Drosophila melanogaster: one gene and its partner. The protein of the gene in region 2 interacts with the protein of the main gene of each other region in a pairwise test. Each region holds a gene or a part of one and is shown on either strand. Other genes may lie near its edges.

Region 1 (7,297 bases), on a different chromosome or scaffold from region 2:
CATGGGGTCCGGGGCCATTTGATGATTTTTGCGTCACCGTTGGTCAAAATCATTTCGAGCGCAAGCAACTGGAAACTGTATAAAAATAATGAAAAAGGAGGGCAGGGGAACGCAGCGTGGCAACGAAAGCAACTTGAAATAAATGGTCAAAAGAAATAAACAGTCCCATAAAGAATAATCATTCAGAATTCTGCTGAATTATGCATGAGGCAGACGGTCCGTGGTTCATGGTCCACAATCCATGGTCCATCGTCCAGGAGCTGCAAACTGGACGCCACTCCACGAGGCGAAGGAGCAGCAGTCCAAGGAGCAGCAGGGGGTGTGGCACTCACATATGCGAAAAGTCCCTCCTGGAAACGCGAACCCAACCCAACCCAAGCCAACCCAACCCACTTGCTGAAGCATCATTTTCCTCTTTATTATCTGTTTGCTTAGCTGTGAGTGTGTGCTGGATTTTTATCAGACTTCTAAGCAGTTAGCTGCCTACACAGTAAGAATTAAAAGCCTAAAACATAAGTTAGAAATTAAAAACAAAATTTTAAACTTAAAATAGGGCTGTAATACTACTAATAAGAAAATATACAAATACACAAACTCTTCTCTGAAATTATAAGCCTTATTTTTATAAATTTCTTTATTTATTATTAATTATTATTATTTTTTTTTTTGTTTTATTTATAGGGAAATAACTATTGACTATTTCTTAAGCAACCATTTCTGTCAGTGCATTAGCCGGCTTCCACTTCTATTTTTCCGGTAAGGTGGAGCTTTGGAGGAGGTTTCCCGCGGAGCAATTCGGCCTGCTCGGTGGCGCTTGGCCAAAAGTCAACCAACATTCGCATAATTTTCGATAAAGCTTTTCGCCAAATGAAATTCAAGTGGTTACACATGTCTCACTGCCACCCAACCCAAACCCAAACCCATCGCAGCGATTTTCGCTTGGTCATTTTTCTTGGACACCCCTCCCCAAACAGCATATAGTATTTCGGTTCTTCCAAAAAGTCAGGCTCATTTCCACATTATATGCCGCATCTGATTATCTGCGCTTTGCTGTTTGTTTGCTTAGTTTTTGTTTATTTCGTTTGTTTGCTTGATTGTTTGTTGTTTTGGCCGAAAAATGCTGATAATAAAAGGTAATGATGGGGGGCTACCTATATATGGGTTATCTCTTTGTTAAAGGGCGACTATGAATCGACGGATTTGGAAATGGAAACTTTAAGTTTTGATAGAGCAATTGTCATGGGGATGCTAATGGAGATTGCGAAGGGATTACGCGTATTTTGATTAGGAAAGTGGCAATAATTGTTGGTTGGAAGAATGGCATACTCTTTTATTTACTATTTGCCAATTTGGAGTATAATGATTATAGTAAATAGACAAATTATTCAAACACAAAGCGATAGTACTTTCATTCAAAGTAGCTTATCCAGATATTGGAATAGTTATTTCAAATAAATTTTTGAATTTTTAATTCAACACAACTCTATTATATTTTTTGTTTATTTAAACAACTTATTCTAGCGATTAAAAATGTCCCGTTCTCGCCGACCTTATACAACACGTTCATAAATACGGCGGTGTTTTGTCTGGACCCCTCAGTTCTGCTTAGCACCTATTCGAAGTGAATCGGTTTTGTTGGGGAGGGCGAGAGACCCACTTTAACAGGTAGACAACACGACTTAACCACAGCAGGCTTATGCCTGCGGTCGCTTCGATTGCATCAGATGAGGTGCGAATCCCAATCGGAAGCTAAATTAGTGCTAAAAAAAAAATAATAATTAAATTGAAAATCAGTTGATCAGCGATCACATGGCTTTGGGTTTTCTAGCCTATAAACAAGTGGCCTGCATGTAATATATATCAACTGGTGGCTATAATTAGCACAAGTGATTAGTTGGCGACTGAAGTTGAATTTGTTTATTGTTTACGATCCCTCATTTAATCGTGCGATCGAGAGCGGATCGATCAACCCTCGCCGATTGTGCTCTACTGGGGGGCTTGGAATTTAGCGTACATTCGCGATAGCACAGCCCATTTAAGCTGCAAAAGGAAAACATAATTTAATCTGTTATTGTTTACGCCGAAATGGAAAACACTTCTAAAATGCGTCATTGAACGCATTTTCCCGATAAGCAACAAAGTGTCAACATGAAAGTTGGATGGATTATGTAAAAGCTTAGGCAAGACAAGAAGATTTTTCGCTGACTCTGTCTCCAAGGGGGGCCCTTAAATATAAATTATTAAACTTTGAACTTGAAATGCATGTGCTAGCGCATCGAGCTGATAAGGAAATCGATGTCGGACTCGTTTAAAAAGGCGCATATGATTTGCTGATTTGAGATCAATGCCAAAGTGAGATGCGTGATTTTGAAGACTAGACAGACATAATGCGGTCATTGAATCGGAATGATGTTGATCAAAGCCAAAACGTGAGAAAGGAATCACAGTGTTTATTTTTGGTATAACTGGCATAAATCGGCGGCGGTATCAAATTTTGTGCCCGACATGCGTTTCTCGATGCGGTTGTGGAACCACCGGAATCTTCCCGATCCCGCTCCGCCCGCCGAGATTGCATTCCCAGCTCAACTGATAACCACGACGAGTATATCAGCTACCAGCCATATATGTACGATGATCGGAGGTTTAATTAGGCGCGGCTGTAACATGAACATTCATAATTCCGCTGGCATTCAATCAATGCAGACGTGAACAATTCCAGTAGTGACCGAGTGTTCGACTTAGCCAGCGATCTCGTGCAAAGTGTACAGTGTCTCAATCGTAGTCAATACCAATTCTCAACCAAGAAAATCGATACTCAAAACATACGTAGAAATAGAAGTTACTAAAATCCAAGCATATGATGGCGCAAAGTGATTCTGGAAATTGCTGTGCCAAGCTTAATAAAGGTAAGAATTCATAAATATTTAATAGTGATTGTGCACAGTTAAATCTGCAATCTGCAACAGATGAGTGCTGCCAGAAGACAAAGGATGTGATCTTGAGCGGCGTATCTCCCAAAATGTTTCCCGACAAAATCTACAAGTCTGTTCAACCCAAAGGAGAGGATGCCACCGGAATGACCTGCGAATGCGGTGTTTTTGCAGCCATCGCTTGCGGGGATTACCCAACACAAGTAAGAACAAAATATTTTTTTTTTTAATGTAATATGTAATATAGGACAGATAGGACATATAGTATAGAAAAACACAAAGGTAAAAATTTGGGTTTAAGAAAAAATGTTTAAAGCAAAATTAAACTTAAATATAATACTTGGAAAATTCCGGAAAAATATGTGTAGCAGATTACAATCAATTGTTAATATATAATAAATATTACTAGGACATAGTAGATAGCCACCATGAAATGCCGATCATAACTATATCAATATCTCGAAGTCATTGGGGCTGTCACAAGCCCATCATCACCCGTTTAGCAAGATCCTATGGACGACCATGTAGTACGTCAGACGTATGCCAATCAATGGTTAGTGGGTCAATGGTTAGCCCCGTTCAGATACACCCCCTGCTGATCTTCTAACGATGTCCATCTATCTGTGGCCAATGCCCAGTGGCTGCGGTGACGTCAGTGAGATCGAACTGAATCGCATGGATTTGGTTTGCCGTGCGGTTGTAATCTCTGTTGTTCATGTTTTTATTGCTCGACTGTAATGAAATGGAAAATAACAGAAAGTACTGGTGTATTCACGGTCGGAAATCGGCATACAGTTATCTGTTTTGCTAGTCAACTGATTGGAATTAGCATTACTAAACTATCTTATATGTTGGGCTAGGTATGCAGAAAAAAAAGTATTAAGTTGCTTTGATCTGATGTGATTTGATTCAAGAAAATGCTGAATAACTAAGCTTAAAATAACAATTCTTAATACTGAGTTTGGAAAATGATACGCCATATCGATGCACAGCACCCCCTGGTCTTTATTATTCAATATTCACGTTTATTATTATATTGTAAAAAAAATAAGGAAAATAAAGTACTAAATGGGATTTTTCTGCTTTCAGCTGGACATAGCACAGATGATCTGCCTCGGTCTGGTGGCTCTGCAGCATCGTGGCCAGGAGTCGGCGGGAATAGTGACCAGTTTGGGCAAGTCCTCCAAGAATTTCAGCGTACACAAGGGCATGGGCATGATCAACAATCTGTTCAATGACGAGGCGATCAGGAAGTTAAAGGGTAACCTGGGAATAGGACACACCCGGTATTCCACGGCCGCAGCCTCGGAAGTTGTGAACTGCCAGCCGTTTGTGGTGCACACTGCCCATGGAGCACTGGCCATTGCCCACAATGGTGAGCTAGTGAACTGCGAGTCCCTGAGGAGGGAGGTCCTGGAGCGAGGAGTGGGCCTGTCTACGCACAGTGACAGTGAACTTATTGCCCAATCCCTGTGCTGTGCACCAGAGGATGTGTCGGAGCACGATGGACCCAATTGGCCGGCCAGAATTCGCCATTTCATGACCCTGGCTCCACTCTCCTACTCCCTGGTCGTGATGCACAAGGATAAGATCTACGCTGTCCGCGATTCCTATGGCAATAGACCGCTGTGCTTGGGAAAAATCGTGCCCGTTGATGCAGGACATGCGAATATCAATGACCAACTGGCCGAGGGTTGGGTGGTCAGTAGTGAAAGCTGCGGATTCCTCTCCATCGGAGCCAGATATGTTCGCGAGGTGGAGCCCGGTGAGATCATCGAGCTGTCACGAAATGGTTATAGAACCGTGGATATCGTTGAAAGACCGGACTATAAGCGCATGGCATTCTGCATCTTTGAGTACGTCTACTTTGCCCGCAGTGATTCCATGTTCGAGGGTCAGATGGTTTACTCAGCCCGCCTGCAATGTGGTCGCCAGTTGGCCAGGGAATCGCCATTAGATGCGGATTTGGTCAGCTCGGTTCCGGAATCGGGCACAGCAGCTGCCCATGGTTATGCCAGGGAGTCGGGACTGCCATTCGGGGAAGTTCTCTGCAAGAATCGCTATGTGGGCCGCACGTTCATCCAACCCTCGACGAGATTGCGACAGTTGGGCGTGGCCAAAAAGTTTGGTGCCCTGGCTCAAAATGTCGAGGGCAAGCGGATCGTGCTAGTCGATGACTCCATAGTGAGGGGAAATACCATTGGACCGATTATCAAACTCCTGCGAGATGCCGGCGCCACCGAGGTGCACATTCGCATTGCCAGTCCTCCGCTGCAATATCCCTGCTACATGGGTATCAATATACCCACTCGTGAGGAGCTAATAGCCAACAAATTGAATGCGGATCAGCTGGCGGATCACGTGGGTGCGGATAGTCTGGCCTATTTGAGTGTGGAGGGTCTGGTCAAGGCCGTCCAGATGAACAAGGCCCATGTGAATCCACTCAAAGCTGGCTACTGCACCGCTTGCCTAACGGGCGAGTATCCTGGCGGATTGCCGGAGGAGCTCAGCTGGTAGAATCTCTCAGCAATTATTAATTTCATAGGATTAAGGTAGTTCTTAGCTTCAGCTTGTATATAAATAAATATATTTAAAATTTCGGGTCTTTGACCTATCACAAAAAATGTTGTTTTTAATTAAGCAATATAGAGGTTTTTGTTTCGAGATAAGGAATAATAAGTAGGACATATATTTGAACGCTTCAAACATTCTGGAAAATAACAAACACAAGCAGTTACATATATTATATATAAAATACATATATATATTAAAATATCTTAAAGAAGACATAATTTTAACATTTTTTTGTTACCACCTTTAACTTATTTACTAGTTATAACCATTTAAAATTTTTTTATTTATTTCCTCACTTTATTTGACTTTCTCGCAGGCAAGGAACACATACTCTAAATGCTAATGGGCCACATCAACGTCTGATTATTTTCAAAACTGTCTAATGCCATAACTTCAATTCATTTCAATTTATATTTCCAAGCTCTGTGTGCCGAGGGATTCAGGGGCAGTGGAGGAAGTAGAGTCGCCCGCTTCCGGTTATAGCCGCGCTCAGATATAGCCCCATATCATACAATATGGTAATCGTGTTTGCTTTTTTCGCCCCGTCTCTTTCCGGCTATGTCCTGCCGCCCACCCACATCCTTGTGTTCCGCTCTCTTTCTTGCGGAGTCTCCCCAGTTGGGGCGTTGCAATGTCTAAAGCGGGGCGTTAAGGGCGTTTAATCCTGCGGAAGATGTCCTTGCGGTTATGCAGAGGGGTATCCGTATCCTCTCTCATCGTATACAACTTTTTTCTTTCTTTCTTTCTTTTATGACTCGCGCCGGGTACTGGAGTCAACAATGTCATCATTATTCTTGAATATTGTGTTGTATTTTCGCAAACAATTTCGCTAAGCTGCGCGGCATTGGCAAAGCCGGAATGGGGGTGGGGGTGAAAAATTTGGGGGTGGGAATGGGTCTGGGTGGGAAAGTGGGAGTGGGTTTCCCTACGCTGAAGTGTGGCGAGGACATAAGAGAAGAAAATAATACTGCACTGTCATTGTAACTCGCTTGATTAATTCTTGTGAAGGGTATATACTGCAAGCAGTTCAGGTTTTGGCAAATGAAATGTAACAACATTTATATTTATTTAAAAAACAAAGACAATGAAATGTTATAAAAACATTTAAATTCTTCATGAAAACATAATTTATTTCACACACTAATAAAGTAAATTATTAATTTTTTTTAAGAAGTTAAAAGTTATATAAGATATGAAAAAAATCAAAGTCGCTTTATAATTTCAAAATTTTCCAAAAGCTGTAGAGGAATTTCTGGGTCCTGTCAGCTTCCCTTTTACGGCGGATCCCCATCACCACTCCATCTGAGTTCTCACCAAGTGGCTACATAAAAGAAACGACTCCTGGCAACATTGAAAACAGACGCTGGCACTTCTATCCAACACACCAGCGTCGTTTGCTGCCACAAGGATACGACAGAAGGACCAAGATATCCACGGAAAAAAAATGGCATAGAGAGGCGAGAGCGTTTGCTTATGTGCGCCGTCGATCACAAACACAAACATCCTGTGCCCACTGCCGCAGACAGTGACAACTAAGCAGTGCCATATTGCCAGGAGCCCAGATGAAGAACCCCCATTGGAAAATCCGCCCTGGAAAGGCCCCACCTCTGCGCCGCAAAACATGCTTTAAATTTTTTAATAACGCCAGGCTACAAGAGCGCTGACGCCCACGTCCGGACTTGGGATCCGGATCCGGTTTTCGTGCCCGATGACGACAGCCGGCCCCGCCCACTTCGGCCTGCCCGCCCACCGTCGTCATTTGCACAGAAGTTATGTAAATTAATGTTTACTTA
Region 2 (7,662 bases):
ATTGCCCCCACCCCACGAAATCCCAATGTAATGGAGTTGTTTCGTCTTGAACTTGATCTAGAGTCGGTAGCCTGTGGAGTTATTTACACTCTAGATTAAATTATAATGCAGAATGTTGTGCCGTTTCAATTCGCTTCACAGTACTCTAATTAGTTTCCTCAGTTCACCTTTTGCTCGTTTTATACTCTTTTGCCTGTGATTATCACGTGTCTGCTGAAAGTTACGAATGGGTTCTAATTAAGGGGTATTTAAACGACTTCTGGATTTAAAATTGATGCAAATACACATATCCGACCATTGTTTAGTGAAATCTTAAAATAAACATCTTTAAAGTACCACGCCATTGAAATGGAGAATTATTAAAATTTATTTATTTTTCAGTTGCTGGCTTCTCATCGATTCTCTTATTTACTCGATAATTGCATCTTTAATACGCGTAAGTCACGTGTGAAACATGTGAGTTTCGTCCTGTGTTTGAGTTGCCATTAAGTTTCTCAGCACGTGACCGGAATTTTATTAAAAACACAAATTTGCCTTCTGTTTCTTCTCATTTTATTGTTAATTATGAAGTATAATGGCGGGTCAGAGTATCGGTAGCTTAAAGTCTACTAAATAAATTGATTGTTTGGCTTTGGACTTTCTGTTGATATTCCAATCACGTGTTCAGCGGAAGGACGTGATAAAGGCATATATCACTCGATTTGTTAACCCCGAATTGCCCGTTTATTATCGCTGTGTAAGCCACCTGAATAGCAATTTTTCCGATTTCCACATAAATACATAATTTAAATGCGCCAATTCATCAGCTTCATGGTTCGATACCTTTTTATTTACCTTAATGTTTCCGCTCGAAGGTCCTTTGCCTAAAATAACCCGCACACATCAATGTCAGTTCCAGTATTCTGGGCGTATCAAATGTATGCCCATGACATTGTCCCATTTCACCGCCCCGCCCCCATTCACATCCTTTCAATAGTCTACCTTTTTTGACATTTTTCCTGGCGGTGCACACGCAACAGGAAAAGGAAATGCCGATTTGTCAATTGTGTGGGCCAAGATTTATATTCGCTACGATAAACTTGAAACACGAATACCTGATTTCGCTTTTGGTGCACACGATTTCTTCCGAGGTGTTCATGGATAAAGGTAATTCGTTAGGGAATCAATTGAATAATCGGAACAGCGATTTATTTTCTTATCTGGCTACAAATTTAATGAGCTATAACTATAATTTCACTTTCAGTTGATTAAAATGTGTTGGCAATTTGAAGTGTCAACTGAAATTGGGCAATCGCAACATTTAATCTGTTGACACCTTAGTTGATAACTAGAAAGTAAACAATATCACGTAATATTAGCGTGATTATATATGCGTTAAAGTCTTCAAATAAATAGATATAAATTAAAACTTTTAACAAACCATCTTGCTGAATAAATTAAATCTTTATTTTGTGCTAGCATTGTCAACAAATTTCGCACATATGCATAAATTAACTAATGTTCACAATTAGTCGACTAAGTTTTAAACTAACTTATTCAAATGTAAGCTGTAAAAACTAATCAACAGTTTCGATTAGGCCACTAATGCGCCTTGGCCTTGTACGTGATTTTCCACACCTCGAAGAGGCAAATGGTCGAATGGAAGCGGTAGAAAATGGCCAGCGGCATGGAGATGTGGGTGATGATCGTCCAGCCCCAGACTCCAAAGAACTCCAAATGGCTCTCCCTGAAGACGGCTCGTCCCTTGATCAGGGTGTTTACGAACCAGATGGCAATGTTGGCCACCAGCAAGAACGTGATGATCTCCCTGCCGGGCTTCCTTCTCACCTGATTGGTGCCCCTGCAGCGCCGATGGCTGGAATGCAGGATGAACATGGTCTGCAGCGAGGTCTGCACCACTCCAAAGACCTCCGCTATAATGCCCTCCACCCGGTCGGGCACTGTGTCCCATTTGGCGAAGTAACTGCCCAGGATGCTGAACATTCCGTACAGGTACACCCCGGTCTGGGCCACAATCAGCAGGAGATTGTCCAGATCCATCGAGTGGTGCTCGTCGCTGGTGTTCTTAATGTAGCGCAGATCGCGCATGAGGATCATGCCTAAAAAAAGATAAATATCGATGTAGGTGGGTCCACACAACAACTTGTATATTCACTCACCCGTTATCACAGCCGCTGCGCACATAAAGTACATGAAGGTCTCCCACAGAGTGACCTCCTGTGTGGCCACCAGTTCATAGCCCGGCTGGGTGTACAGCACAAAGTACATGATCATCGAGATAATGGTCATGACTATGATCAGGATCCCGAAGAAGAGTCCCTTGTGCGACTGGGAACAGTCCACGGAGAAGTGATGGGCAGGCTTGGCAGCAGCGGGCTTGACGGAATTCTTGCGCGTCTTGTCGATGTCCGGAATCGATTTGACCGTCTTCCACATCTCGAAGAGGATTACGGCGCATATGAGGGAGTACTCGATGGTGCAGGGGAACAGGAATGGCGAAAGTTGCTGCACCAGAGCACCCATAATCGTGGTGCGGGAGCAGCCGCTGAAGGCAGCCGGCGTGGGCGACGGAGTAATGGTCATATTCACAATCACAGAACTCACATTGGCCACCAGGGTGTTATTAAGGGCATGATGATGATGATGCTGATGCAGGGACTCATTGACAGCGGCCCAGTCCGTTCTACTCATGGAGCTATTATGAATGACCAGGTCGTGGGCGGGATCCACTTCGTGCTGGCTGATGTGGAAAATTTCGTGCTTGGTCTCCTCCACCAGGACGTACAGCCACTCACACAAGTTGGTGGCCACCATGTGCATGAGTCCGAAGCGGGAGGTCACCTTGTGCCGGGCCATGTCCATGTAGGTGGTGTTCAAGAAGATGAACTGCACCTGGGCGATGCACAGGACCATCCGGCAGATGGGTGTAATGGCCACGAAGACATCCCGGCATCCGGGATGGCCATTCAGCTCGAAGAACTGGCCAAACTCCAGGCCCGAATACACCATAGTTCCAATGGCGAAGGCGATGGCTCCCACTCTCAAGTAAAAGCTGCCAAAATGGGTTACCTTGTGCTTCAGATGCACATTGCTGTTCTTTTCGTCTGCAAATGTAGAACAATCGTATTTGTATTGACCAAATTATAACAAGAAATCCCCTATAGCTTACGATAGTCCTTTAAGGCATTGAAGAGCGATCGATTACGGAAGGCACTAATGTACAGAAAGATCACAAAGAGTATGCTGCCCACATAGAGGTATACGTAGAATCCCTGGTACACATAGGTCGGTATCTGATCGGATATAACTTCCGTGATCGGCAGACAAACGCCTAGCAGTACCAACAGTTTGCAATAGGTTGCCGACAGTGCTGAACTTATGGCATCGCTGAGATACAAGAGATACATTTACGAGATTAGTTACCAGATCATAAAGTTTTAGTTTCCACAACTTACTTGCCAGTGCGTCGGTTCTTATCCTTTTGTTGCTTGGCCTGAAAGCTCTTGGCCCCATTGTCGAAAAAGGCCGTGGATCCATTCCTGGCACTGGTGGCTCCACTCTGGAAATTTATGGTCGCTGTGCTGCCGCTCGCTGTTCCCTGCAGGTTACTGAAAAACACAAGAGGTTATATGTACTATAAGAAATAGAAGGTCTAGAAATACGTAATGTGTTAATAAGCCAATTTGGGAAGTATAAGAATAAAAACATATAATATTGGTTAGTTTCTAATGCGATTTGAATGCTGTTCGATGACTTTGTTATGTTAGGGAACCATAAATGTACCCATTTTTGGCAGTCCTCGGCGACAGGAAACCGTTGCCGTCCCTGCGCCCAAAGAGCGGCGGTCGCTGGGTGAGGATCTCTTGGAGGAGCAGCGATGGCCTGCGTGACACCTGCAAGGTGCAGGCGGAGTCTTCGTGGTGCATCCCGACGGTGGGAAGCGGGAGGAGGGCCTGCCGCTGGCTGCCGTGCTCCACGAGATCCAGGTTGGTCTGGGACTTGGCCAGCGGGGAGATGGGATGCGGCGACATGACCGGAATGCTGTGGTGTCCGCAGTGATCACAGGACGTTCGGGCGTAACGGATCACTTGATTCGAGGTGGCGGCCACAGAGTGACGAGGTGTACCAGGTACCGAGGTGGGCAGCGAGCTTGGCGGGGATCTCGAGAACGAACCCGACTTCTTTGGCGCACTTATGGTTATGTATTCGCAGGCATCGGAGGATCTGTGGCTGCTGTTTGAGGAGCGAAATAAGGATATGGGATATCTAATTTTCCGACCAGTGGCACATATACACGCAACCCGACAGGTTCAATGCTTTCCGATGAACTGAATTTTCTATTCCGACTTTGGATTCTTGTGCCTGGTATTATCAATATGTGGATTCAACCTGACCCTGAGGGAATCGCACACATTTTCATGTATTTCGCAGCTTTGATTGGTTTTTGATCGATTTCTGCACGTCCATTGAGATATTATCACTCAGCTGGCTAAGAAACCACGCGTGTTCTTTCGGAAATACCTCTAATTTGTATATAAGTGGACAGATAAAAGGGGGTATGTTGTCCCATCAATCAAGGGGTAGATAAGTTCTTGGTGTTTACATAAACATTAAGTGATCACGTTTTCCTTTTGTTGCCTGCAATCAGTGTCTGGAATTTGAGCCAGGGCTTTCACACGAAAAAGAGCTAATGTCATAGAACGACATCTATAGGGGTTTGACGAACCACTGTGATAAGATATAGTACTCCAAAATATTTAGAATGGAAAAGTCTACTGTCTGCTAGTCTGGTACAAATAGCTTTATCTTGAGATCTTCTATAGCCAAAACTCGCTGTGTATATGTGCCACCCCAGTTGAGAATTTGAATGCGAAACTAACTCATTTCCCTTCGATATCACATCGTGGTGGTAATGGACGCGCTGTTTGGTCCTCCACAGATTAATGGGTTCATCGTACATGTCTTTGGATTTCAAGTTAATTAGCGACATTTCCGGGCCGAGTCGCAATTTAATTTATGAAATCAAACGGATCGCGATCACCGATCTCCAAGACGCGATTTTCCGCGCCCTTACAGACTCGTGTCAGTGGGAAGACTGAGACTTTCTGAAGCAGTTACTCCAATTGTCGGAGCTATCGGGCAGACGATATTTGACTAACTGATTAGCGTTATTATTAGCCTGCTATTTTTACCGTACAGGTATGAGTGTGATCCGTGTGTGTAAATACATCTATTGCAGTCCTATTATTGCTCTAATTTATTAGCCTATTGGCACTTCATCAGTCGGACCTGAATCATGTACCCGCATGTTGTACATAGTACTGGATTTTTGAATTTGTTTTGAAATCTGTAATTATACGACGGCAATATGACGTCATCACAACAAGCTCGTCAATGTTGTTAATTATCGTATATATAGAGTTGTAAAAAGCTCTGCCTTCTCATAGCAGAATTCGTCGGTTATCTCGGCCACTTTAGCATTTAGCAGTCTGACTCTCAGTGCTCTTGGCTTGTTTACTGGATCAGATCAGTTTGGCGATCTCCAGAAACGCTAATGTTTACCCACATGATTCACTTTTTAGGCTTCCTAATTTTTTTCATTGTACTATGTGACGTTGTAGGTGAATTTATTTGGGTAAATAAAAAGTAAAAACCTGTAGGTTGACAAATCAGCTTCAGAGAAAGTTACGTGACAAGTGTTAAAAAGTTGGTCAAAATATTATGAAAGACCTAACACATCTACGAAGCGTCTGAAATCGAAATGGCAAGTCGAGTTTAGGTGTAAATATTACGCCATATTTATTTAGCAAAATATATAACGAAAATTCACAGGTTTAAGTATCTCGATTAGAGTTCATTTTATTAATAGTACATGATCATATTAACCAGGGAAGTTCTTTATAGGAATATTCTGATTCTATTTGGTAACTTTACCTGAAAGTAACAGTCGGCATTCTTTCGTATTGAACTCCACTGTTGCGGTCCACCATTAATGTGTTATCAGAATAGGTAAATTTTAAAATTTTTTCAAAGACAACTTCACATAAGAACTTTTATTCCGCTGCTAATTTAATACGAAGGTTCATGGTGCTGTAATAAAATCCACCGCTAGTAAAGTTGTGCAGATGGCAGCAAAGTTCTGGGAAAACTGAAACCAAACCCAGACATCGATACTTATCTTCGGGGTCTTCCTCATGCTTTTGATACCAACATACAGATACAGATAGCCAACGCCCCGGGCACACGTAAATTTGTGGTTAGTTAATACCCAGATACTAGCAGAGATTCCATGCCCGAAAACCAAGACAGTAGCAAGTATCTTATCTCTCTAAGGGTCATCATTCCGACCCTGAGTAAGCACTCCTACCAAATGGGCAAAACAGTGTTTATTGGCACTATCAGTTGCCTTAAAATCAGTGCAGCCATATCAGACGCCTCTCTGTTTACGTTTGTAATCAATAACTTCTGTCAATATTTGCCAAGACACATACACTCTTGTTTTATCGATTTTACCATATAATTTCCCAGCCCACTCTTTGAACTTTACGATAAGAAAAATAGACCAAGGAAGACGGCCAAGTTCGCCATTATTAAAATAAAATGGCATGTAATTTGCAGATAATTTCAAACGCGTCAGGTGGTTATTTTTGGGCTACTTACTTTTGAGTAGGAAATGCGTAACTATTTGGATCCCTCAATGTTTATGAATCATTACTTAAAAAGACTTTTCTAAAGAAAAATGTATATGTTTGTCTCCTTAATAAAATTTATGACTGCCGAAAGTGAACAATTCATTCGCATTTATTGAACCACCACAACAATGTGGGAAGCCAACTGCCGTCAAACCAAAGCACTTGAGCAAATTTGCGAGGTCATGGCCATAAATATGTAGTTCCCAGAGCAGATGCTCCACCAACAGACTAAGGGCTCCTCCAGCTGGCCCCAATTTCGATCTGTGTATAATTTGTGCTACAAACTTTGTCATGTGAGCTGATGCAGTTAGTGAAGCTTCCACTAGCCCAGATGCAGTCCTCGCTCCAAGGAGTATGGGTTAGTTACGCTCGCAGGAGCAGGACCAGTACCCAAACCAGGACCACAGCCAGAATTTGCACCATGAGAGGAAGTTTACAAGCACTTGGGAAAAAGTTGTTCTAAACATCAAACATTTGAATGGTAAAATATGAAGGAATTGGAGATTTTCAATATAATTTTATTAAGCAGATCGCTTAAGACAGCCTTTAATGGTAAAATTGATACATCATTACTTTTATTCATTTCTTGGTAGTCTTTACTTAGAATACCTTATTTTCAGTGCAGGAGCGTAGACCACCAGCTGATAAATTTTCAAATTTGCATGCTAATGAATGGCCTGTCATGGCACTGTTGCTGCAAAGTTTTTAACTTGTGCCTGCGTTCGCCTGGTGAAAATATGCAGAGGGAGATTTATCTGGACGCCCAGTGGTGGTGCCCACTAGGTAAACTGAGGTAACCAAAACAGTTTGGGCCAACGCCATTAATTGCATGTCGAACTTTGAGTGGCTTCCGTCATTAAAGACGGGGTTACAATAGCCAGAACTGGGATGGAGAAATACATTTCGTGGCAGCAAATTGAAATCATGTTTATCTTTTGTTTTTGGTAAGTGGTGCTTCCAGTGATGGTGA

What was found.
Region 1: the proteins of OtopLb (region 2) and Prat2 interact in a two-hybrid assay, tested with the Drosophila melanogaster proteins (one large-scale study listed by BioGRID).

What each region holds. Positions count from the first base shown.
Region 1 is NT_037436.4:6,910,250-6,917,546, reverse strand, and holds Prat2 (phosphoribosylamidotransferase 2), read left to right. Parts: upstream 1-2,670; 5' UTR 2,671-2,857; coding exon 2,858-2,906; intron 2,907-2,966; coding exon 2,967-3,133; intron 3,134-3,582; exon of another isoform or gene 3,583-3,790; intron 3,791-4,019; coding exon 4,020-5,447; 3' UTR 5,448-5,548; downstream 5,549-7,297.
Region 2 is NT_033779.5:3,274,374-3,282,035, forward strand, and holds OtopLb (Otopetrin-like b), read right to left. Parts: upstream 5,098-7,662; 5' UTR 4,991-5,097; coding exon 4,881-4,990; intron 4,234-4,880; coding exon 3,784-4,233; intron 3,609-3,783; coding exon 3,456-3,608; intron 3,388-3,455; coding exon 3,170-3,387; intron 3,105-3,169; coding exon 2,160-3,104; intron 2,100-2,159; coding exon 1,582-2,099; 3' UTR 1,427-1,581; downstream 1-1,426.